Linked DNA regions of Rhinolophus ferrumequinum. The protein of the gene in region 1 binds, or shares a complex with, the protein of each later gene. Links are inferred from orthologs where the notes say so. Each region holds a gene or a part of one and is shown in the gene's direction. Other genes may lie near its edges. The genes, in order: TIMP2 and MMP2.

Evidence for each region.
Region 2: the proteins of TIMP2 (region 1) and MMP2 are in contact, whole or in part, in a crystal structure (PDB 1GXD), measured with the Homo sapiens proteins. The link is inferred for Rhinolophus ferrumequinum from reciprocal best matches to the Homo sapiens genes TIMP2 and MMP2. Residues at the interface, in NP_003246.1 of Homo sapiens: Ile162, Pro163, Cys164, Tyr165, Ile166, Pro169, Leu173, Met175, Val178, Thr179, Phe191, Arg196, Asp198, Ser200, Cys201, Ala202, Trp203, Tyr204, Arg205, Ala208, Lys211, Gln212, Glu213, Phe214, Leu215, Asp216, Glu218; in NP_004521.1 of Homo sapiens: Trp574, Lys576, Asn577, Lys579, Tyr581, Phe588, Arg590, Lys595, Asp599, Phe602, Lys604, Ile606, Ala607, Asp608, Ala609, Trp610, Asn611, Ala612, Asp615, Tyr636, Leu638, Leu645, Lys646, Ser647, Val648, Lys649, Phe650, Gly651, Ser652.

The regions. Positions count from the first base shown.
Region 1 is NC_046304.1:52,687,975-52,698,777, reverse strand, and holds the start of TIMP2 (metalloproteinase inhibitor 2), read left to right. Parts: upstream 1-5,900; 5' UTR 5,901-6,203; coding exon 6,204-6,333; intron 6,334-10,803. UniProt on the Homo sapiens protein: Complexes with metalloproteinases (such as collagenases) and irreversibly inactivates them by binding to their catalytic zinc cofactor. Known to act on MMP-1, MMP-2, MMP-3, MMP-7, MMP-8, MMP-9, MMP-10, MMP-13, MMP-14, MMP-15, MMP-16 and MMP-19.
Region 2 is NC_046298.1:8,771,421-8,782,862, forward strand, and holds the start of MMP2 (72 kDa type IV collagenase), read left to right. Parts: upstream 1-7,115; 5' UTR 7,116-7,450; coding exon 7,451-7,606; intron 7,607-10,204; coding exon 10,205-10,431; intron 10,432-11,361; coding exon 11,362-11,442.

The DNA.
Region 1 (10,803 bases):
GGGGCCGCTTTTGTTCCATCTCCATCTCTGGCACCTGCACGCACCTGGCGCACGGCTGGTGCCCAATACTACATATTGTTGAATGAATGAGTGAGCTGTAACCTTAAGAAGCAGAGTCATGGGGAAGACAGATATGAAAACTAACCCAGGAGGAAACATGAGGAGTCAAAGGGGTCCAGGCAGGGGCTCCAGAGGGGTGGTTTCCATCTCTCCCTTCTTTAGGGTGACCTGCTCTGCATACAACCCCAGCTGGGAACCTCCTAAAACAGAAATCAACCCTGAGACAGCTTCAGCTGGCTGGCTGCCTGGAGCAAGGTGAGGAGGGATTTGGGCCATTCCAGGCTCTGCAGGAAAGGAGTGCTGGAGGGTGATCTGTGTCTGGTGGGGGTTGGGGCAGGGGGCAGGGGATGCCTGCCCCCCTGGAGGCCACACTGGGGTTATCCCCCCATCTGCCCCGAGGGGTCAGAACACAGTCCAACTCGATGGGGAGCACTGCAGGATACCTGGAGCACCCTCCGGGACTGGAGGAAGCCCAGTACAGCTTCGGTTCTGGGAGCCGTGCCCCCCAGACCCATGTGCCCCCCCTGGGGTCTCCAGGCGACACCTCTGAGGGGCCGCCAAGCAGGACGTGGAGAACAAGGGCCAGCCGTCAGCCCTGTTCCCGGGCCCCCGAGCATCAGAACTGAACCAGGGACAAGCAGGAAGAGGAGAAGCAGCAGAGTGGGCTATGAATGCTCGCAGCATCCCACTTCTCCCGGGGCCGGGCAGGTCCAGGGAGACGCGGGTACCAGACAGCGAGCCTCTGCCTCCGGCCTGTGGAGCTGGGCGGCCGTCTCAAAGCTGAGGAGAGGGCGGGAGTGCCAGAATCGGAGTCAGCGAGCGAGCCAGACCCAAACTCCAGACACCAGCTTGAAATGGCGGTCAGGACCCGTGAGTCACTTTCTGAGGACCCGGGCTTCCCTCGCCTTTCTCATGGCCCATGGCCTCTGGTCTCTCTGCTGGTGACAGAGCCCCCCCAAACCCTGCACTTTCTGTTGTCTGGCCTTTCAGCTCAGGGCTGAGTGAAGCCTTAGGAATTCTGTCCCCTCCCCCTCACCCTGTACACACTCCACAGGATGACGCCAGGGAGCCGGCACCTATTATTCCTTATGCTCCAAAGCTGGTCACAGAGCTGGGCTGGCATTGGAAGGTGACAAGAACCTGGGCGGGGGATGGAAAGAGCTTGGTGCTGCTGACTGCAGGGCTGGCCTCACCGGGAACGTGAAGCACCCCCAAAGAAGAGAGAGCCTGGGAGACAGCAGCAGGGGAAAGAAGACAAGGCAGGAACAGAGAAAGAAAACGGTGTTGGGGAGAGGGAAGGAGAGAGAAAGGGAGAGGGAATTCTTGGGCACAGCCCTAATCATAGCCTTGACATGAAATGTACTGCTGCACTCAGCATGGGACCTCCGCCAACGCCGCCAAACCAGCCCTCTTCTGTTTGGATTAGGCGGTGACATCATGGCCATGGGCCCGTCACTCCCGACACCAAAGGAAGGGAAGAATGGCGGGCAGGCGGGAAACCTGAGCCTCCCGCCTCTGGGCTTCCAGGGAGGGGAACCTGAAACTATGAAAACTCAGCCTCAACAAACCCCTGCCGAGCTGGGCTGCCCTTCCCCAGGTGTCCCACCCCTTGCTCCTGGACAGCCCTTGGTCCCCAGAACCCAGCTGAGGCTGCTTCCTGGAAGCTGGAGATGGACGGGCGCTGGGTTCCCATCTCTGCTCCCTGGCCCTGCTCCCTAACCCGCCCATGACAGGAAGCACATGACCACATGCCCAGGGCCAAGAGGAAATGCCCTGGGCATGAGAAAACGCACAGCAGCAGGCCTGAAAGGAGCGACTGCTTACATTTCTCTTACTCCTTTGTTTTCCCGACGACGACGTCTGAAGGAGGGTCTGAGGAGGCCCAGTGCAGGAGCTGCAGGAGGCACACAGGTGGGGCTGTGGGAGGTGGCAGAGGAAGGCAGAGCTCCGTGTGTGCCCTTCTGGGAATGGTGGACCCTCCCTCAATCCTGGAAGGAAGGCGTGCAGGACAGCACCTTCTGAGTTGGGGGAGGCAAAACGCATCTGCAGGGAGGCGAGGCAGTGCCATCCCAGAGGCCCCCAGAACAAGGTTGGCCAAGGCTTCCCTGCCTGGGGCTGATACCGCTGCTGCAACAGGGCGCCTGCCTGGAGGAGGTGTTCAGGTGCCTTCAGTCCGGGCTGTCTGCTCCCAGATGTTTTCGATGCGCCTGTCTCTTCAAGTCCATGACTTCTTGGGCTTCCTGTTGACAGCCTCCCTCCCTCCCTTCTTTTTGGGGTCACTCTAGACTGGACCATGCAGCCCCAGCCCTGAAGGCTTGAGTTCCGTGTATTGGGGAGCAGGAGTTGATATCCAGACAGGTTTGCAAGGTGGAGGCCCTGGCTCAAGGCTGCCTTTGCCCCAAAGGGTGCCTGCCTGGGAGGAGAGGAAAGGGGGCAGGTGGCAGGTGTACAGGCAGAGAGAGGCCAAGCCCCACTTTCTTTAAGATGCCCTAGAGGATGACAAGAAATGCAGCCATGGATGCAGCAAAAGAACCCCCAGTGGGAGGCGTGAGCCAAGAGCAGTGTTGGTGAACGAGTGGGGTCGTTTGAGAGTAAAGGCCTTGGGCCAGTACAGTTTCGGTGCTGGGAGACGTGCCCCCCCAGACCCATGTGCCCTTGAGCTGCAGCCAGGCAGGCTTTGGTGTTCCACAGACAGACAGCACAGAGAAACCCGTATTCCTGCTCTTGGAGCGGTCCTTTTTAGGGTCCTCCTCTGGAAGTTGTTTTTCCTGCACAAGGAGGAGGATGTGACATCTGTCCTGTCACCTAAGTTCCCGCCACCCAGAGCCACTCCTCTCACTTTTTGCAAACACCTTTTTCTACACCTGTCTATATCCATGCATATGTTTCATTTCACATGAATGAAACATTATCCATGCTATTTACTCATGGGCGCCTTTAAAGGACAACCTTTTCACTATCCCTTGCTTCCCTCCCTCCCCTGAGAACCAGTGTGGACGGGTGGTGCACCCGGAACACACACTGACGTGGGTTTGCTGCTATGGGCATTACTCTGCTCGACCTTGACACAGGCGATGGAACTTTGCATTTTGCTTTTCTAAAGAGCCAAGATTTTTATTAGTTTCCCTAAGTGAGGGCTTGTCAGCTGGGGTGGTTATGCTCCCTCCCCCACCCACCCCCCAGGAAACACTGGGTAATGTCTGGACATGTTGGGCTGTCACAACTTGGGATGGGGTGCTATCAGCATTTAGAGGGTGGAGGCCAGGGATGTTGCTCAATACCCCACAGAGCCCAGGGTGCCCCCCCCCCCAATGCTGTAGCCCAAGGTCAGCAGGGCCGGGGACTTGGAAGCTGGCCCTGGCTGCAGAGCATTAATGATGAAATTGATGAAATGAAACAAAAATAGGAACATGCTTCAGAACGTCCACCGCTGACCACAAAGGCTTATGTGGAGTGTGCAGGGAACTGTTGCCCATCTTTATGCTGTAGGTGGCCCAGCCATTCTTGACTCCTTGTCATCTTCAGGACGTCCTATGGCAAACAGCCCACCAGGGAATGTTGGGGACAGATATCTGGGCTGGGAGATGCCACTTGCCTCCTGTTGCCCAGAGTTGACAGAGGGGGCCATCGTGACCCTGAAGTCAGCTGTCCGTTCCTTTCTGAGGAGACGCATCACAAACCACAGAAACCTCCAGACAGCCAGGCAAGAGACACCCCCACCACCTCCCCCTACAGCCACCCTCTGCCTGCTGCCCCCAGACCTGCCCAAGACATTTCCACCCTTTCGGGTCCAGCTTCCTGCGTACGGGGGGCCTATTTTGATGCCCACACCCCGTAGAGCATCTGGCTTTCCAGAACCTGCTGGAAGAAGTGTGGGGGCTCAGCTCAGCACCAGCTCTCTCTAGGGAGAGAACACTCCGGACATGGGAGGAAATGGATCTCCTGCAAACCGGAAGATGAGTCCACCAGGAAGACATGCTTCCAACTCTTGTCCAGACTCACTGGATGGAGGTCACCTCTTGCCCAGGCCTGAGAGGTCATCCTGACTCTTTTTACCTGAGTGGGGTGGGAGGGAGGAGGCCTCGGCGCTTCCTCCTGGCCCTGGACAACATTTACTCTGCCAAGCCAAGCCCAGGATGTATTTGCTGGGTGTGCTCAGACCTGGGCGGGAAGGCTGACAGCTCCGCGGGGTTCTGCTGGGCTCTAAATTGGGAAAGTCTCTTTGGGGGGAGGCAGGTGAGTGTACCTGGTCAGAAGTGGTGGCCCCAGGGGTGTGGTCTGAGGGTGCTAGAAGCCAGCCCCTCCCCAGCTGGCCTAGCAGGCAATGCTCCCTCCTGTCTATCCTGAGTTCTGCTCTGCTGGGAGCCACACGTAACAAGCCGAGGTCCTGCAGGCTGTAGTCAGATGCACACTGCAGGGAGCGGTGTCTCCTGTGTGGCTCCTCTGTTCGCCCACTGCCAACAGTAAAGTAGAGGAGGCCGGTTGGGAGACAAGGTGCGCCCCGGGCTCCTCCCACCTGCTTCTCTCTCTTGCCTGGGTTTGAGGCAAACTGACCCCATCCTCCCTCCTTGGGGGTGAGGTCAGAGCTGCAGCCCTTTCCCTGAATTTCTCCCGTCTTGTTGCCCCCCTCTTGGCCGTGGAGCAGAGAACATGTAACACTACTCTATTTTACATGAACAAAGGCCGAAAAAAGTGACTTTGGGTTTTTGTCAGGGTGCTAAAAATAACTCCTCTGCCTATTTAACTTTTCTTCAAGTTGTCTGTTTCAAAGGACACATAAGTAGAAAGAAATGATTTTCCACTCTTTAAATATTTTCCAGTTTCACATCTCAAGTCAGCACCACACAGTTCAGCAGGCAATTATTCTTTAATTTCCTCCCTTTACATCTCCCCAGCTGGATTCGAAGCATCCTGTGGGCAAGAGGGAGGGTCTGTGTGTAAGAGCGCCCACTGCAAAGGGATTCAGGGCAGGCTCAATGACAGGTAGACAGAATCCCCCCGGGGTCACACTTCACGTGCCGGGTCCACACCTCTAAGATCTTCTGCCCTTCCTGGAACACAGAACTGTTTTGGGAAGAGTTCTACAGCTCCCACATTTGTGGGCTAAGGGAGGGAACTGTGAGCAGAACCCAGCAAATGCTTTCATTCAATCCTACCACCTCCTGGGCTCCCGGGCCCAGCCCCCTGGCTCTTGTGGGCTGGTCAAAATATGGCCAGTTTATATAAAATCCTGTTTTGTTCATAGTAACCACTCCTGCTCCCTTACCAACTAAACTGACTAAGCGGCCTTAAAATTCTGAGGCCTCCATTTGAAAAATGAATCCTCAGTAAGTTTCAGGAGGCCACCGACCCACAAGGAGGCACGGGAGGGGGCCGCAGAGAATGGTCCCTCTTCCGAAGCTCACACCCCTTTTGCTCAATCTCTGGCTAGAATCTAAGGGCCCCCAAAGGTGGAAGGGAATCAGGCAGTGTACACCTCCCATACCAAGCTGGAGGGGAAGGGGTAGGGGTGGTGGGTGGGCTGCCTGGTGCCTTGGGGGGGGGCTTCGAGTCCCAAGTGCTGAGTCAGGGCCGCCTGATGCGCTGTCCTCCTCGCATCCTGCCCCCCACTACAACCTCTGTCGGTTTGAGAGGCTGCGGAGTGCTGCCTAGGGCGGTGGGAAGCCAGGTGCGCAGCGGCGGGCCCCCCAGGGCACAACAAAAGCCGAGTTTGGGGTAGGGCCTGGGAGGCGCGGGAGGCGCGGGGGCGGGGCCACTGGAGCCCCTGGAGCCCCATTGGTCGTCGGCCACTGGAGGCGGAGCCCGACACCCTCCCAGCTCAATAAAGAGCCAGGTCGGTGCAAGCTTGCAGCGCACACATCCGTAGAAGGTTGTGGAGGAGCTGGGACCCGCGCCACACGCGCTCGCTTCGCCGCCCCCCACCGCTTTCTTCTCCGCGCTTCAGCCGCGCCCCCGCCCTCGCGCCTCCCCCGCGACACAGACCCGGGAAAGTTTGTGCGGGCGAGTGCGTGCCGGGTGCGGAGGGAGCGCCCGGGAGCGCAGTGAGACCGCGCACCGAGTCCGCCCAGAGGGGAGCGCCCCGAGCCCAGGCGGCGGCGGCCGAGCCCCGAGCCCGCGCCCCCGGCCCGCGCCCCCCGCCCGCCATGGGCGCCGCGGCCCGCAGCCTGTGGCTCGCGCTCGGCCTCCTGCTGCTGGGGACGCTGCTCCGCCCCGCCGACGCCTGCAGCTGCTCCCCGGTGCACCCGCAACAGGCGTTTTGCAATGCAGATGTAGGTAAGAACGACGACCCGCCCAAGCCTGGTGGGTGACCTCCCCCGCGGGGCTCGCGGGACCCCCGAGGGTTCGCAGGAGCCCCGCCCGCCTTCTGGCCCTCAGCGCCTTCTCGAATCCTGCAAGTTGACGCCAAAATCGCACTTTCTTTTCCCCCTTCCTCTCCCTTTCTTTCCCTCTCTGCCGAGATGCTTCTCAACCTCAAAATTCCACCGAAATTCCGCTGCAGCTCCAGCCCCAGAAAAGGGAGCCAGGGAACGGATTGGGTTTTGGCAGGCGAAGGGCCCTTGGGATGCCAGCGCGGGGGTGGGGGATAATGGGGGACACAGCGTGTGTGTGTGTGTGTGGGGGGGGAGTCTTGGCCTCTGTGGGCTGGAGGGCTGGGGACCCCAGGAAGAAACTTTCACAGGTGAAATGGCAGTTGGGCTCCTCTGGGCTTGGGGTTGGGTGGGGCTGGGCCTCTCCCACCAGCCCCGTTTGGGGGCTCACCGGATTAAAGGGGGGGCGGGATGAAAGCTTCCCTCCCGCGGGCAGGCTCCAGGGCTCAGAGGGGCCGTTGGGAGAGGCCTGCAGAACCCGTGGGCTGGCCCCTTGCTCCGTGTTCTGCCCAGGAGGGTCCTTACTGCTTGCTGCTGGTGACTACTTTTCAGGACACACCAAAACTGGAGACCTTAGTGACTGGAAGCGGGTAGGTGGGGTTGTGTGGCTGCTTAGAGCCCCTCGGAAATATCTATTATTCTCAGGACTTCTTGCCCCCCAGAGGTGGGAGCTAGGGAGGGAAGAGAAACCCACTTATTTGTTCTGGTCCTCAAGGGGCAGCAGGAATGGGTGGAACCAGCTGGGCCCCAGAGGTTCCCATCCAGGTCTGATGCTTGCAGGCTTCACCAGCTCTGGGGAAGGTCAGCCAGCTTGTCCTGGGGCAAGTTCAGTTTCACCAGAAGGACAGATGCCCTGCAGGTGGGCGGGCCTCTGCAGCGCCCTTTGACCTCTCAGTAGCTTTATTTTCTGTTCCTTTGTCGCAGCTGGGCTGCACTCACCTGCATAGGCTCCAAGCTGGGGTTTCTGGGTTCCCCCGTTGTCAGCCGTGCCTCCTGGACTCCTCCACACCCCAGCTGGCCCTTTAAGCTGCCTCTGCGGCCTAGCCTGGGCAGCCTTCAGGTGCTGCCACCTGTGGTATCACATGGCTCAGGCCACCTGGGCGTGGGGTGTGCTTGCTGAGTAGGTTCCACAAAACCCTAACTGGGGGAAGGAAGGTCTGTTCTCTGATTTGGTTTTGAAGCTCAGCAAGATTTGAGGGGGCAGGAGAGGTTCCTCCGTTGGGAGGATCTACCTTCCCGTGGGGTGTCCCCTGGACGTCCAGGCCTGTCCAGGCCCCTTTGCTGAGAGAGAAGCCATGCTTCTGGCCACCAGTTGTGGCGCAAAATAAGGCTGAGGCCCAGAAGGCATCATGGCTCTTGAGACTCCCCGGCGTGGCTCACAGGAGCCAAGGGGACAGGGGCTGGGCCTTGGGACCCCCTCACACTTCTCAGCTGCTCCTGCCACTCAGTGCTTGCCCAGGGCGGGCTGGGGCTGGGGTTTGGATCATGGGCAGCAAAGGTCAGGGTTGGGGAGCTTCATTATGCCTGGAGGCTCCTTCTTGCTTTGTGTGTTACTCTCTCCTCCGCCTGGATCTCCCTTGTTTGTGTCCAAATTATTGCATCAAAATCATGGAGCCTTAATCCCATCGCAGCCCGAGGCTGGGAGGGCGGGGCCTGCAGATGCCAGAGTTTCAGGGCAGAACCCAGTGTGTTAGACTCCAAGGGCTGTTGGAACAAACTGCTACATACTGGGGGGCTTCAAGCAACAGGAATTGGTTCTCTCACAGTTTAGGAGGTCTGCAGTCCAAAATCGAGGTGTGGGCAGGGCTGGTTCCTTCTGGAGGCTCTGAGGAAGAATCCATCCGGGCCCCTCTCCCGGCTGCTGGTGGCCCCAGCGGTCCTTGGCCGGCAGACGCATCGTTCCGCTCTCTGCTCTGTCTCCACATGGCTGTTTCCTCGGTCTGTGTCTGTGTCCAAATCTCCCTCTTCCTATAAGGACGCCAGTCATTGGATTTGGGCCCACCCACATCCAGCATGACCTCATCTTCACTTGATCACATGTGCAGAGACCCCGTTTCCAAATAAGGTTCCATTCACAGGTCTGCGTGGCCATGAATTTGGGAGGATGCAATCTGAGCTAGGCTGTCCAGTCTTGTTCCACAGTCAGCCCTTCCCTGTTTGGTGGGCTGGGAATACCGAGCTGAGACATCCCCGGGCTGGCCCTGGAGGGCCTGGAGTAAACCTCGCAAGGAAAGCAATGGCCTTTTCACGTCACTGCTCCTTTAATGGTGCAGGTTCGGGAATCCCTCCCCATTCCTCCTCTTGGGCTGAGAGCAGAATTGCCTGGGATCTTTTAACGATCACTCAGGTCTCAGTACCCTTCGCAGATGTAGAGTCTGGCTCAGACCTCTGCTTTTACAGTTTTGAATCCCCACAGGTGACTTTGTGCCATCAGAACTGTGGCCCAGGGTTCTGGAAAAGGATGATAGCCTGGTGCATGTTGGGGGATGCTAAAGGCTGACCTTTAATGCAGCATGCTGGCTTCTGTAATTGTTGGCCTGATGCAGGTTGTTAAATGGCTTGGTGTCTGCAAAAGGCTGTTGGCTTAAGAAGCAGATTTCTGTCTGCCTGTGTAAGGATTTCTGGGAGGTGTCTCCCAGCTTTTACAGCCGGTGGGATTGGAATTGTGGTCTGTGAAAATAGTTCATTATGAGGTTACGAAATTTAGGATGAAGGGGGTGGGAAGAGGCGATCTGGGCTCCTGGGGGGGAAAGTGAGGGTAAGCGGGCAGCCTTTCGTGCCTCAGAGCACCGCACGGATGTGCTGCTGGCCCGCTTCCCTCTGTCTAATGGAGTCCTTCTCCATCTACGGCAAGCCTGCACAGCTCCAGTGACCCGGCTGGATACTGGCTTTGGCACTCTGGGCTGCTCGGACCAGTCTCTGGAACCCAGAGAATAAAATCTTCCCTCCGGCCTGGGTAGCGATGTCCAAAGCCACATCGTTCCAGAAGGGCGCCCGCAGTGCCATCTTTCTTAAGATTTTCCGTGTCCAGACACTGCGAACCCTCTGATGGTGTCTCCAGCACCAGGTGGGGAAGGGCTCACAGCCAAGACCACGTCCTGGCTGCCAGGGCAAACAGCCGACCTTGTACATGCACTGATGGGGGCCAGACCGTGGCCGCCCTGGAACAAGCGCCACAGGCTCTCAGGAATGGCTCTGTCGTTCCCAGACGTGTGCTCAGGGAGGCAAGGTGATGAGTGCAATCAGGCCTGGGGTCCATGGGTTCGGGGTGGGGTGGTGACTTCTCCAAAATGCATAATTGATCCGCATTTCGTACACGCTGGGTTTCATATCAGGCTGTTTCAACAAGCAGTTGTGGGGGCACTGGCTCTGCTCAGGCGGTGTAAGGGCGAAGAAGCCGGGCATTACCCCTGCCCTCAGGGGGAGCGCTAGACACCAGTGCCAGGCGGTGTGGGTCAGGGTGGGCAGGAGCCCTGCAGGTCCCCCACCCCCGCCAGGGCGTGGTGTCAAGTAAGAGTCAATGTGCTTCAGGCAAACAACAAAGTAACGGTGTGCCAAGGTGGTACGCACTCCTGGGATCTGCAGATACAGGGTTCAGGTGGGAGGTGGGGGATGGGTCATGGTGGGACTGGAGCGCCTAGGCTCGGTTTTGGACAGTGTCTCTGGAAGGACATGTTCTCCCTGGGAATGGCTGGAATGTGAGTTGCTGGCAGCTCCCATGGTTGGGAGACTGGAAGAGATGTGTTCAGGGCACAGGCTGTACAGTGGGTGTGGCAGGTGGCTGGAGGGAGCCCTCCTGATGCCATGCATTCCTCCCTGTCTGACCTGAGGACGTGGTACCAGCCTGGGACCCGTTCCGTCCTCCAGAATTTGCAGTCCAGTCCTGGCCAGTGGTCCGTGAGCTTCAGACTTGGTTACCTACCTCATCTCTGTCTCGGCTGGGCTGCCAGGCAGTTCCCACATGTGTGGGCTGTGTGGTTCGAATCCTTTGGTGACATTTGAGCATGTGGAGAACCGGTGTAGTTGACTCCCAGGCTGACAGGGGAGGGGGCTCGAAGCCACCCTAGTCCTGATGCAGAGCCACTGACCTGATGATGCCCAAGGGCCTATGGGGGTGGGGGGATGGGTCCTTTGGGCTCCAAAGTAGCTAAGAGATGTGCTTGGAGGACCCCCGGCAGCCTGGAGGATGAAAACAACAGCAGGAGAAAGAATAAGCATGGAAGGAGAGAAAGAGAAGACAGAAACGGCAGACTAGGAGTGTGTGTGGTGGGTGTAAATGCTGCTGACTCCTCTCTGCCTTCCATCCCCGTGTGCACACACACGTGCGCACACACAAGGTCCAAGGGCAAGTGGTTCCGTGCCTAGGAAGGTCCTT
Region 2 (11,442 bases), on another chromosome or scaffold:
TGCATGCATCTAATAATTTTGCAACCTGTTTTCCATTCTTCATGGGCTGCCCTGAGAAAGTTAAGAAGGCTCGCTGCTTCCACAACATTCCAAAGTTGTGAGTTTCACCACCGGGACCATCAGTGTACACATTAGCTATTTGATCTTGGGCCACTGACAAGCTCAAGTTAGAGGAATTAATTTAGCTTGTTGTGCAGATCTTATTCAGATAAATAAAAACCTTCAGTGATGTCCACCATGGATCTTATTGCATATCCAGCTCAGTAATGTCCCTGTTCATCTTTCAGATCATCTGTAAACCAGATTATGTCAGCATTACTGATAGGCATTTTCGGTAAATCATTCTAGGCGCAAGAAAGGTGGTCAGTAAGCAAAATGCAATCGTGGATGTCTTCATCCTGCAAAGAAGGTAGCAAAGTCGCTAGGTTAAGACTGTTACATCAAGTTAAGGTAGTATTAGGCACAGACAGCAAGAGTGCTTCATAAGAAGCCAGTTGACTGACAGAAGGGTTGAGTGTGATGAAAGAAAGGTCAGTGGGGATTTAACAGAAAGAGGAACATACATAAAGGAGAGCTGATAACTGTTTCTTCTGTTTGTTTGCATAACGTGGCTGTAGCACAGATGGCGGTCATGCAGGGAGGAGTCCCTTTGGCTACTGAGTCTAATTGTTGACTATAATATCCTATAAATCTAAGATGAACTCTATGTTTTTGAGCTAAAACTCCAAAAGCTGTTCCTTTACTTTCATGTAAAAAAGGAAGAAAGTTTATCAGTAAAGTGTCTCAGAGCAGGAGCTTTAGAAAATTTTTCCTTCGGAGCTTTATAGCTTGTTTCTCTTCTGGGTTCCATTGAATTGGATCAGGTTGAACTGATTTTAATAAGACTTATAGAGGATGGGCGATTGCCGAAACATTTAACATCCAACTGTGACAGTAACCAGTCAGACCCAGGAACCCACTAAGCTGCTTTTGTTTCTTTTAGAAAAGGAAAGGAAATTATTCCTCTGAGCCTTTCATGGTTCATTAGGAGCTCATCTTTAGATGTTAGATGACCAAGGTATTTTACTTGGGATAAACAGAGTCAAAGCTTGTCCTTTGAGGCCCTATGTCCCTTTATAGCTAGTAGCTCTTGTAATAGGTAGATAGATTGTATCCTCCTGGGAATCTACTATATCCCAGAACATAAAGTAAATCATCCACATACTGGATTAGAGTGGAATTTCTGGGAAATTCAGTATCATTCAAGTCAGCATTTAGTATTTGAGAGAAATAGGTGGGACTCTCTGTACACCCCTGGGACATTACTGTCCAAGTAAAGCCCCGATCTTCCCAGGTGAAAGCAAAGAGGTCTTTTTTTTTTTTTTTTTTTGACAGGAATGCCGAAAAAGGTAAATCCATCACTGAAAAATATTGGCAATCCACAGGAATAGCTAATAATAGGGTATGTGGATTTGGAACCACAGGATATCTTTATTTATAGCTCTGATGTCCTGTGCAAATCTCCATCCTTTCCCATTGGGTTTCTTTACTGGAAGGTTAGGAGAATTACAGGGGCCCATGCATGGAGTTATAAGCCCCCTTTTTATGTATCTTGTAGAATGGGCTTAATTCCAGCCAGTTCATTAGGTCTTAAAGGATATTGGTGAATATTAGATAGAGGCAAAGTACTGTCAATAGTTATTTTAATAGGAGTGGCTTAGTCTTGCCAATATCTGTACCGGAAAAGGCCCAGAATTGCATTGGAACGTCCTGTAACAAACGTTCAGTCAGTCTCAAGACTAGTTTTCTCTTGTGCAGTTTCCTTTAAAGTCATTATTTTCTCAGTTGGTTCAGTATCTGATTCATTTAGTTCTAAATACTTTTCATCCTTTTGGGAAAAGGATATGTGGGTGTCATCGGTTTCAAGAAAGTCTCACCATATCAGGTGAATTGGGACAGATTTGACTAGTAAAAAATATATGTATGTTACACATAACATTCCCAAGTTGGAAGGGAACAGGTTCTGATTTAAAAACAGACATTGGTTGATCAGATGTCCCTACCATTTGTAAAGACGCTTAGTCCAAGGGCTAGGACAACTCAGTTGGGTAGTGTTAAGAATAGATAAAGTAGCTCCGTACCTACAGTTCTCTTTACCTACATTCTCTTTTTATGGTAATTTCAAAAGTATTTGTAAGGAGAAGGGGAAATGCCCTCTCATAGTCCTTGGAGCAGCCCAATGCTTGCTTCTGTTTCTTTTCTTCTTCTAGATCCCATTTCAGTTTTCTGCAGTCCTTCTTAAGGCAACCTGACTTTTTAAGATAAGAACAGATTCCTCTCTCCCCTTATCTAAGAGACCTCCGGGGAGGTCTGACCTGATTGCTTAATTGCTGGAGCTGTAAGTTCATGATTTTGGCAGCTTTGTATTTTTGTACCTTTTGAATTGTTTTAGATAGTTGATCAGCCAGAATTACCAATTCATTAGTACACGTGGTCAGCCAGTTTAATTTATGCTGTTTAATCAGAGTTCCAGCTCTTCATCTTGTCCTTCCAAAAAGGCCGAATTTATTATATTAAGGGATCATTTTGATGATCCTTAAACTGTCTGGAGACAGACCTGTGTATTGTTTGAACGTTTCTTTGTAAAGTTCAAGGAAATCAAGCCCTGTTTCATCAGGCTCTCTTTTACATTGCTGGATCTTAGTCCTGTCCATTTTCTGGGGCAAAACATCTCAGATATGGCTTGGTAAAGCCACAGGGCTAATTCTCTGCATTTTTCTTGGTCTGTCTCTGTTTTAACAAGTCCTCTATAGGGGCTTCCCAGTGAACCTTATTTACCCAATCTGTTGCTTTCCTCTCAGAAACCAGTAGGTATATTAACTGGAAAAGGTCAGAATAGCCAGGATCATATGTTCTAACAGTTAAATCAAATTCCTTTGCAAACTCATATGGTCCCAGAGAGTGAGGGAAATTTTAAGGTAGAGTCCTTAATTCTGTTCTAGTCAAGGAATGTGTACAATCACTGGTTTTCCTTTGCCTGGCGTTTCTCCAAAGGGAGCTGCCAGAATTTCTGTTGGATTTTGTTTTTTTCCCCTAGTCTACCGTGGTCTGGTTTTCTAGTCTGAGTGTCCCCTAGGTCAATAGAGAGCTCTGGTGAAAGAGGTGGAGGAGAGAGAGAGAAGGGGGAGGGGAAAAGAAAGTCCAGACAACGAAGTAAAGAGCTACAGCGGAGCAGTTGGAGAAGAGAGAAAAGTGGGGCTGTTGGCACTGAGCAGTGTCAGAAACTTTCCTTACTTAAGAGACAGTCTCTAAAATTTCCTTATTAACTTCTTGGAGATAGTATCTCTGTGCTCTGTTTCAGAGGCTTCTATTTGCCAATTGAGGTAAGCCTCCCATTCATTCTTTTTGATTTTAGAGATGGCTTTTTTCTCCTATGGTGCATGCAAAAAAATAATAAGAATAAGAATTTAGGTGTAAAAATAACTCCATTTCGGTCATCTTAAGTTGATATCACTTCTAGTTAAATCTTTTTTCTGTAAGTACTTGCAAGTAGAGTTTCTTTATGAATTGTACATCTACAAGAATATTAATGGGGCTGGAGGCTGGGGGCTTGTTGTCCTGGGAGGCAAAATTTCCCAAGTTCATTTTAGTTTTCTTCTGAGATCTGCAAAGCCTGAACACATTTCTAGGGCTCTTGGGTAGTGGGCTGAAGTGGACTGCTTATGAGCTCCAAGGTGCTGTCACCTCCCGAGTCACTCCAAACTTCCTATGTGTCTCAGCTTCTTTCCATACTATCTAATAAAACTGTGAGGACCCAGAGCGCGCTAGGTAACAAGCTTTTATATGCGTGTCCCAGGGCAGCCAATTGTTTAATTGCAGGGGTGTTGGAATTTCCTATGGGGCCCTGCTCATTTTGAGGACTACCCTCAAACACCTCCACATAGTTTCTTAGTCACCTCGTACCCGAAATTTGAGCTGAAGGGAGTAAGTGCCCCTTATCTTTGGAGCCGAACAAGTTCAGACTCTCATTTATCCAGCAAAAGGTTTTGTTCAGACTCACAGTAAGTAATTTCCGTTGGAAAGCCGAAATTAAAAACCAGCCACCCGGTGGCTCAGGCAGTTGGAGCTTCGTGCTCCTAACTCCGAAGGCTGCAGGTTTGATTCCCACATGGGCTAGTGGGCTCTCAACCACAAGGTTGCTGGTTCGACTCCCTCAAGGGATGGTGGGCTGCACCCCCTACAACTAGCAACGGCAACTGGACCTGGAGCTGAGCTGCACCCTCCACAACTAAAACTGAAAGAACAACAACTTGGAAAAAATCCTGGAAAAATACACACTGTTCCCCGATAAAGTCCTGTTACCCTTCCCCAATAAAATCTTAAAAAAAAAGAAAAAGAAAAGAAACAGCCACCCATTTCTTTTTCTCTGGTCCCTGAGTTATCTCAACCCTTGTCCTTAGCCTGGGTTATTTCAACCCTTAACCTTTAGTGCCACCTTGAGGATTTATTCCCCCCTAAGATCAGCTCAAAGTCAGGGCCTTAAAAAAACTACCTTAAAATAGGGAGGTTCAGAATTCCAAGAAAAACTCACCCAAGGTCACCTAAGGCAAAGTGGGGAGCCCATAGGGCACAGTGGGCCCCTGCTGGTACCGAGCACCGGGTCAGGGTCCACAGGGTAGTCCTGGGTGGGCTTCTTTGGAATCCTGCCAGCTGCACCAAGTAAATGTCAATGAAAGAACACCCAGCCTAAAAAAAAGTTTTATAAGAGTTTATTTGAGCCAAACTGATGACAATTGCTGGGAAGCAAAATCTCAACAGACTGAGAAAATGCTCCAGAGAATGGCAGTTTTGCAGCTTCTTTTACACATTAGAATCAAGGGAGAGGACATAAGGAGGGTTATGTGAAATCCGTTAGTGGTAGATTAACAAGGCGGGAGAAAGCAAAGCAGCGAAATCGCTGGGATTGGATAAAAAGTGAAACGGAGAGAGACACACACTTCTCTTACATCAGTGGATGCAGGATAGTTAATAATTAACATTTGGGGCATGTAGAGATGGTATTCGGGGAATAAGATGATGATGAGGGGTGCTGTGGTCTCTAGATGGTGCATGCAGTTGTGCCGTGAGGGGTCTGGCAGAGATTATGCTGACATTTCAAAAGTATGTTATCTTACAGGCAAAAAGACCAACAGACAGGCTCACTTATGGCAAAGACTGACCTTTGTCAAGGAAGCTACAGGCCTAGGATCTGACTACCTGCCATGACTTGCTTTCAGTTAGAAATTTTTATGTTGATCATCCTATGTGGTTACTTTGGTCTCTGAGTTTGTCGGGCCCGCCGTGCAAGCCTCCGCTGAGCTTGTCAAGTTTAGTGCGTGGCCCCTTTTTCATCCACAGGGGCAAGTGATGTCAATGAGCAAAACTAAGCTGAGTGAGTCACATGCAAGGCAATAGAGAATGGTGGGGACTGTGGCAAACCAAAATGCATGCCTCATCTAAAAGGAATAGCAACTATTTAGCTTCAGCTAATTGTTGCCAGGTGGAAACCGGATTGCCAGAGCTTTGGGAATTTTTAAAAGGATAGCAAAAAGTCAGATTTTGACATCAAGTTTCCCAAGTTTCAAAATGCTGTTCCGACTGGATTCAGCCCACAGGCCACGAGTTTGCAAGCCCTGCTTTAGTGAGACAACTTTTTCCATTTTCACTCCCAGCTCTGGCCTCTCCAACTTGGCTCTCTGACTCTCCACAGGCCATGGACTTGGGCCAAGTGGGGCCCAGACAGGAGGCAACCCCCTCCCCACTGACCTCAGACTCACCCTCCCCAAAACAGCCAAGGCTTCTCCCTAGATCAGGCTGATAGGCCAGCCTCCCTCTTGCAGGACAAAGTCCCTCCCAAGTGGCTCCTTTCACTCTGACCTCTTGTAGGACAGGAGAACATGCCTGCCAGGCAAGCCTGTATTTTGTTTTAAGCCCACTGAGATCCAAGCTGCAGACGGCTTTTACTGATATTAAGATAAAGGCCAGGTTCATCACCACGACCCCCAAAGCCCTCACAGGCAGATTGTTGCTGACCCTTTCAACCCATGATTTTCTTCCTCAAATTGGACCCTGCTGACTGCCAGGCCCATCTCATCACCCTGCCCCCTACCTTTCTCAGATAAAGGGAACTCCCTTCTCCAGTGCATCCTGCTGTGTTTCATCTCTGGACCTTTGTATGTGTTGCCCCAGACTGTGCCTGAAACATCCCTTTCACCGCTCCCAACCCAAACCTTTGTTTTGTAGCTCTTCAGGTCTCAGCTCAGAAGTCACTTCTTCCAGGAAGCCTTCCCTGACCATCTATACTAGTTTAGAGGCTGAGGTAAGGTGTTGCCAGGACCTGCTGGAGATCCCCCATCACAGCTTAGCACTTAATTATTCTTCCTGAGAGAGGGAGGGGACATTCCTGAGAGACAGGTAGCAGGACTTCTGTGTTTCCAAGTGTATATCTATTAGGTTGGTGCAAAAGTCATTGCGGTTTAAAAGGTTAAAAATAATTGCAATAACTGCAAAGACTTGTGCACCAACCTAACAGCACCTAGCATTATGCCTGAGGCCCAGTAAATGCTTAAATATTTGCAGAAGGAAGAAAGAAAAGAGGCAAAGAAGAAAGGCAGGAAGGGAGGAAGGAAAGAAGGGAGGAAGGAGAGTGGGACACTCCAGTTTATCTGTTTCCATCTGTCGCTTTCCATTTTGTCCATCTCTCTCTATCTTCATCTCTAAACATCTACAATCTTTCTCCATCACGTAGCTGACGTCTGCTTCTGACCCTTCCTTTCCATCTCTGACCCGTGTCCCTGGAAGTGCTGACATTCTTGCCCCCCGGGCGTCCTTCCAAGAACCGCCGTTCTCCAATATCGTGAGTCTACAGTGGTCGTGGCAGATGTTTCCCCGCAGGGGGTCTCTTAGGCTTTGTGCCCGGATTGGTGTGTAGGGGTAAAAAGGTCGCGCCCTGCTGCTGCACGCAGAGGCCTGGAGCAGCAGGCGGCAGGGAAAAGAGGCGGAGAAAGGCAAGGAGGATAAAAGAGGAGGGCGAGTGGGGGAGTGGTGCGGAGAGAGGCGGGCCTGAGCGCCCCCCGCCCCCCCCCACCTCCCTACATTGCCAGCGCCCTCCCAGCCCAGCCGGCCACATCTGGCGGCTGCCCTCCCTTGTTTCCGCTGCATCCAGACTTCCTCCGGCAGCGGCTGGAGGCTGCGCATCTGGGGCTTTAAACATACAAAGGGACTCCGGGACCGGCAAGCACAGGCGGTGGTGGCACGGGCCGGGGAGCGGGGGCCGGACCATGCGCGGCTGAGCGGGCAAAGCAGAGGCCGCCGAGTCTAGTGGTCCCTTGGAGCGCAGCGCTGCGCGGCGGAGCAAGCGCCAGCCAGGAGGCGACTCAGCCACACGCGCCGAGCCAGTGACCCCTGGGCGACGTGTGGGCCCGGGAGAGCAATGACCGATGCGCGAGTGGCCCGGGGCGCGCTTGCCGGCCCCCTACGGGCGCTTTGCGTCCTGGGCTGCCTGTTGGGCCGGGCCGCCACCCGGCCATCTCCCATCATCAAGTTCCCCGGAGATGTCGCCCCCAAAACGGACAAAGAGTTGGCTGTGGTGAGTTGCTCCGCGGGCCTCAGCGAGCCAAGTTTATAAAAACTAGGAGGCGGAGGGTGGGGGTCTCCCAGCCATACCTCCTCCCTACCTCTGGGGACAGACAACATGGGGGAGGGGCTTCAGTAAACAGCTCGGTGGGGGTGGGGGTGGGGGTAAAGTCGGCCTGCTGGAGGAGGGATCTGTTTTGGAAACCATAGGGGATCTTTGGTAAGTGGAGAAGGTCTTTGATAAACCACTTGGCAACTTTCAGGACACAGCAGGGAGGAGAGAAACACTCAGGGAAGGGAAGGAGGTGCTTTGGCAAACAGCTGGAAAAGGCCCCTTTTGTAAATAACGGGGACGTTGTATAGTATCTGGGGGATTTGGCAAGGGGGCTGGCTTTGTAAACAACTTTTGGACACATCTGTAGGGTTGGCTAACCAGGCCCTTGGCTAGCCTCTTGGTAGGCCTTTGGCAAAAGGCCTAAAGGGGTCCCTTTTGTAAACGGTGGAGGATCTTTTTAACCCCCTGCAGCACTTTGGGAAGGGGATTCTTTGACGCACAATTTGGATAAACTCTTGCACACGTTAAGTTCGAGTTCCAGGCCAAGCAGGACTTGGCAAACATCTGGTAACCTTTGGCACACATCTGGACAGGGGCCTTGGACAGACCTGCGTGAGGGAACCTTTGGGCAAATATTCAGGGCAGGAAGGAAAAGGAGAGCGCATCTTTTTTGCCTGGCTCAGTGGACAAGTTGGCCTGGAGAGTCAAGGGTTGGACCTCAGAAAGTTTCCTCGAACTTCTGCAAAGAGGTTGGAGGGCAGGAGAGAGGTGGCCAGCGGGGCGGGGATGGAGAGAGGGGCAGGCGCAGGAGGCCTGGCGCGTGGGGCGGGGGCGGTGGAACCCGCGGGTGGGAGAGTGGCCAGCCAGCCCTCCCTCCTGGCGGGGCTCCGAGCTGCGGCTCAGATGTTGTTCTGAGAGGGAGCACGCCTGGCTCCAGGCGCACCCAGGCCTCAGCGGGATTCGGGGGGCAGCGGAAGGGCACTACCCCTCACCCTGTCAGTGCCTCAAGCAGGAGACCCCTCAAAATGTTCCTTCTAGCCCACAAGACATCTGCCCCTTATTGCTTTAACTCCCTAGAAATCCCCTATGCTCCATCAGCCTGATCCCCAACCTGCCCAAGACAGCACTTTTATGCCCCAGGTCACCCTGGGCACCCCTTCTCAGGATGTGACCCCCCCTTTTCCTGCATCTAAGCCTCTGTCCCTTCTGCATAAATGGGTTGGGAGACTTTACATTTTTAGGGGGCTACTTTTCTCACAGGTCTGGAGCTGGCTGGCATTGTGATGTGGCTCTTGGTTGGGGGTGAGGGTAGAATTTTGGAGCATTGACAAAGCTACCTGGGCCCCCACACCTTCCACAGCGTGTGCAAGTCTATGTCGCCTATAGGCCATGCAGTGGGAGGTTTGAGAAGTGGGCTTCAAACGCCGGAGTGCACTCACCAACTGGCCTAGTAAGTGTGGGCAAATGACCACCTCTCAGTCTCAGCTTCTTGTGCAAAGGGAGGATGATAATGATACCTCTTGGACACTTTGAAGTAGCACATGGTAAGCCCTCCATCAGTATTAGTCATTATTGTTATTATTATTATTCTTATACCCTGTATCTTCCCTTTTCTAACTATCCCCCCAAACAAGGTTATGGCCCCTGTAAAAGGGTCTCCTGACTCCTTTCACCTTTCTAATGCAGTACCCAGCACATATTTAATTTTGCATTTATTTCTGGTCCATCAGCCTTCTCCCATTGGGGTTTGAGCCCTACAGACTAGAAACATCTGTTGTGTTCACCAGTTTATCCCAACACTAGCAACAGGCCTAGAACATGGGACATACCAAAAAGTATTTGTTGAACAAATAAATGAGCTGCTTGGTTCCTGACTCTTTGTACGGGCCTGTTTGGTTTTGGCCTTGGTTTTGGCAGAGCCACTGCACAGCCCCTGAAGGACAGGACTATTTTCTTTTTGAAAATGATCATTCCAGGATATGAACCCAGGTCTCTGCGGCTGGAGCCCATGCACATAGCCCCTGAATCTCTCTATAAGAAAAGTGAGAAAAATAATCCTTATGTCATCAGCAGTTAGGTGGATTAAAAGAGGTGATGGAGGTAAAGAAGGGTGGTGGAGCGTTACAGTTCTGATCATGGCGCTGGAGCCAGATTGCTGGGGTCCAAATCCAGCTCTGCCATTTGTGAGCTGTGTGATCTTAGGCTAGTTTCTTAACCTCTCTGTACTTTAGTTTCTTCCTCTGTATGATGGGGAGAGTAATAATAAGTACATTATAGAGTTACTGTGAGCATTACAGTTACGTGCTAGCTTCAGTGCCTAGGCATATAGTAAGCACCCAGTGCATGGTAGCCATGCTCTCTGTGGCTGTTAAGTCTCTCAGCTAGTGGGTGTCAGAGCTGGTTTGGGAACCCAGGACTCCACCTAGTGCCCTGGGGCCCCTGGATTATGTCCTCTCTGAGCTATGGGGCTGGACGGGGGACTAGTTATTGTAGGGCTTTGGTCAGTACTATGCCATCCTAATGTGGCTGCTTGCCTCTGTTGCTCATTTCTTCCAGCAATACCTGAATACCTTCTATGGCTGCCCCAAGGAGAGGTGCAACCTGTTTGTGCTGAAGGACACACTGAAGAAGATGCAGAAGTTCTTTGGACTACCTCAGACAGGTGCCCTTGACCAGCGAACCATCGAGACCATGCGGAAGCCACGCTGCGGGAACCCCGACGTGGCCAACTACAACTTCTTCCCCCGCAAGCCCAAGTGGGACAAGAACCAGATCACGTACAGGTGCCGAGGCAGGGCTGGGGCAGCAGGGCCTCTGGGCTACGGGACACGGGGTTTCCTTGGGCCTCTCCCCACTCCGGGCAGCCAGGAGGTGACTCAGGAGGACTTAGCATCTTAAGAAGTTTGCATACAAAGTTCTTAGGAACCGGAGTCAGACAGACCTGAACTAGAATCTCATACTTACTAGGTGTGGGGCATTGGGCTACTTATTTTTCAGTGCCTTGAGCCTTGGCTTTCCAATCTACAAGATGGGAAACAAAACCTTCCTCATAGGTTGGTTGGGAACGAAGCTAGGTCACATTTCTAAAGGGCTTTCACAGTGTCCAGCATCTAGTAACAGTGTAATACCTGCTAGCCACCATTGTTACTAGATGGGGTCGTTGGTGTCGGTGGAGGGAGCTGGATGATTGGTTGCTAATTGGTTTTATGTTACAGTATAGAGTGGCTATAATTGGCTGTTGATTGAGCTGAGAGCTCTGTTCTGTACAGCTCATGCTGGATTCCAAGGATGAGGTCTCTGCCCTGTGTCCCATATGCACTATTCATGTCCCTGTGTGTCCCCGCAGCCAGAAGTAAGGGATGGGAGTCCTGAGACAGGGCCTGAAGGTGTTGGCTCATCTAGGACTGCACGGAACCTCAAGCCGTTCTGGGCAGGCTGTCCTCCCCGTGAGCTCTGCTCAGCACACGCCGTATACCTGCACAAGCATGGACACTCACAGGCACACACTTGTGCACACTCCAACGCATGCACCCCTCTTGCTTGTGCACACACCCACACACCTGTGCACATACACCCACCCTTGCACACATTCATGCACTCACACAGTTGCATATACACACACTTGCACACATGCATGTATGCTTGCATGCATGTGTATACACATGTTCCTTTGCACACACGTACACACTCATATGCATTTCTCCTACCTCCAGGATCATTGGCTACACGCCTGACCTTGACTCTGAGACGGTGGATGATGCCTTTGCTCGTGCCTTTCAAGTCTGGAGTGATGT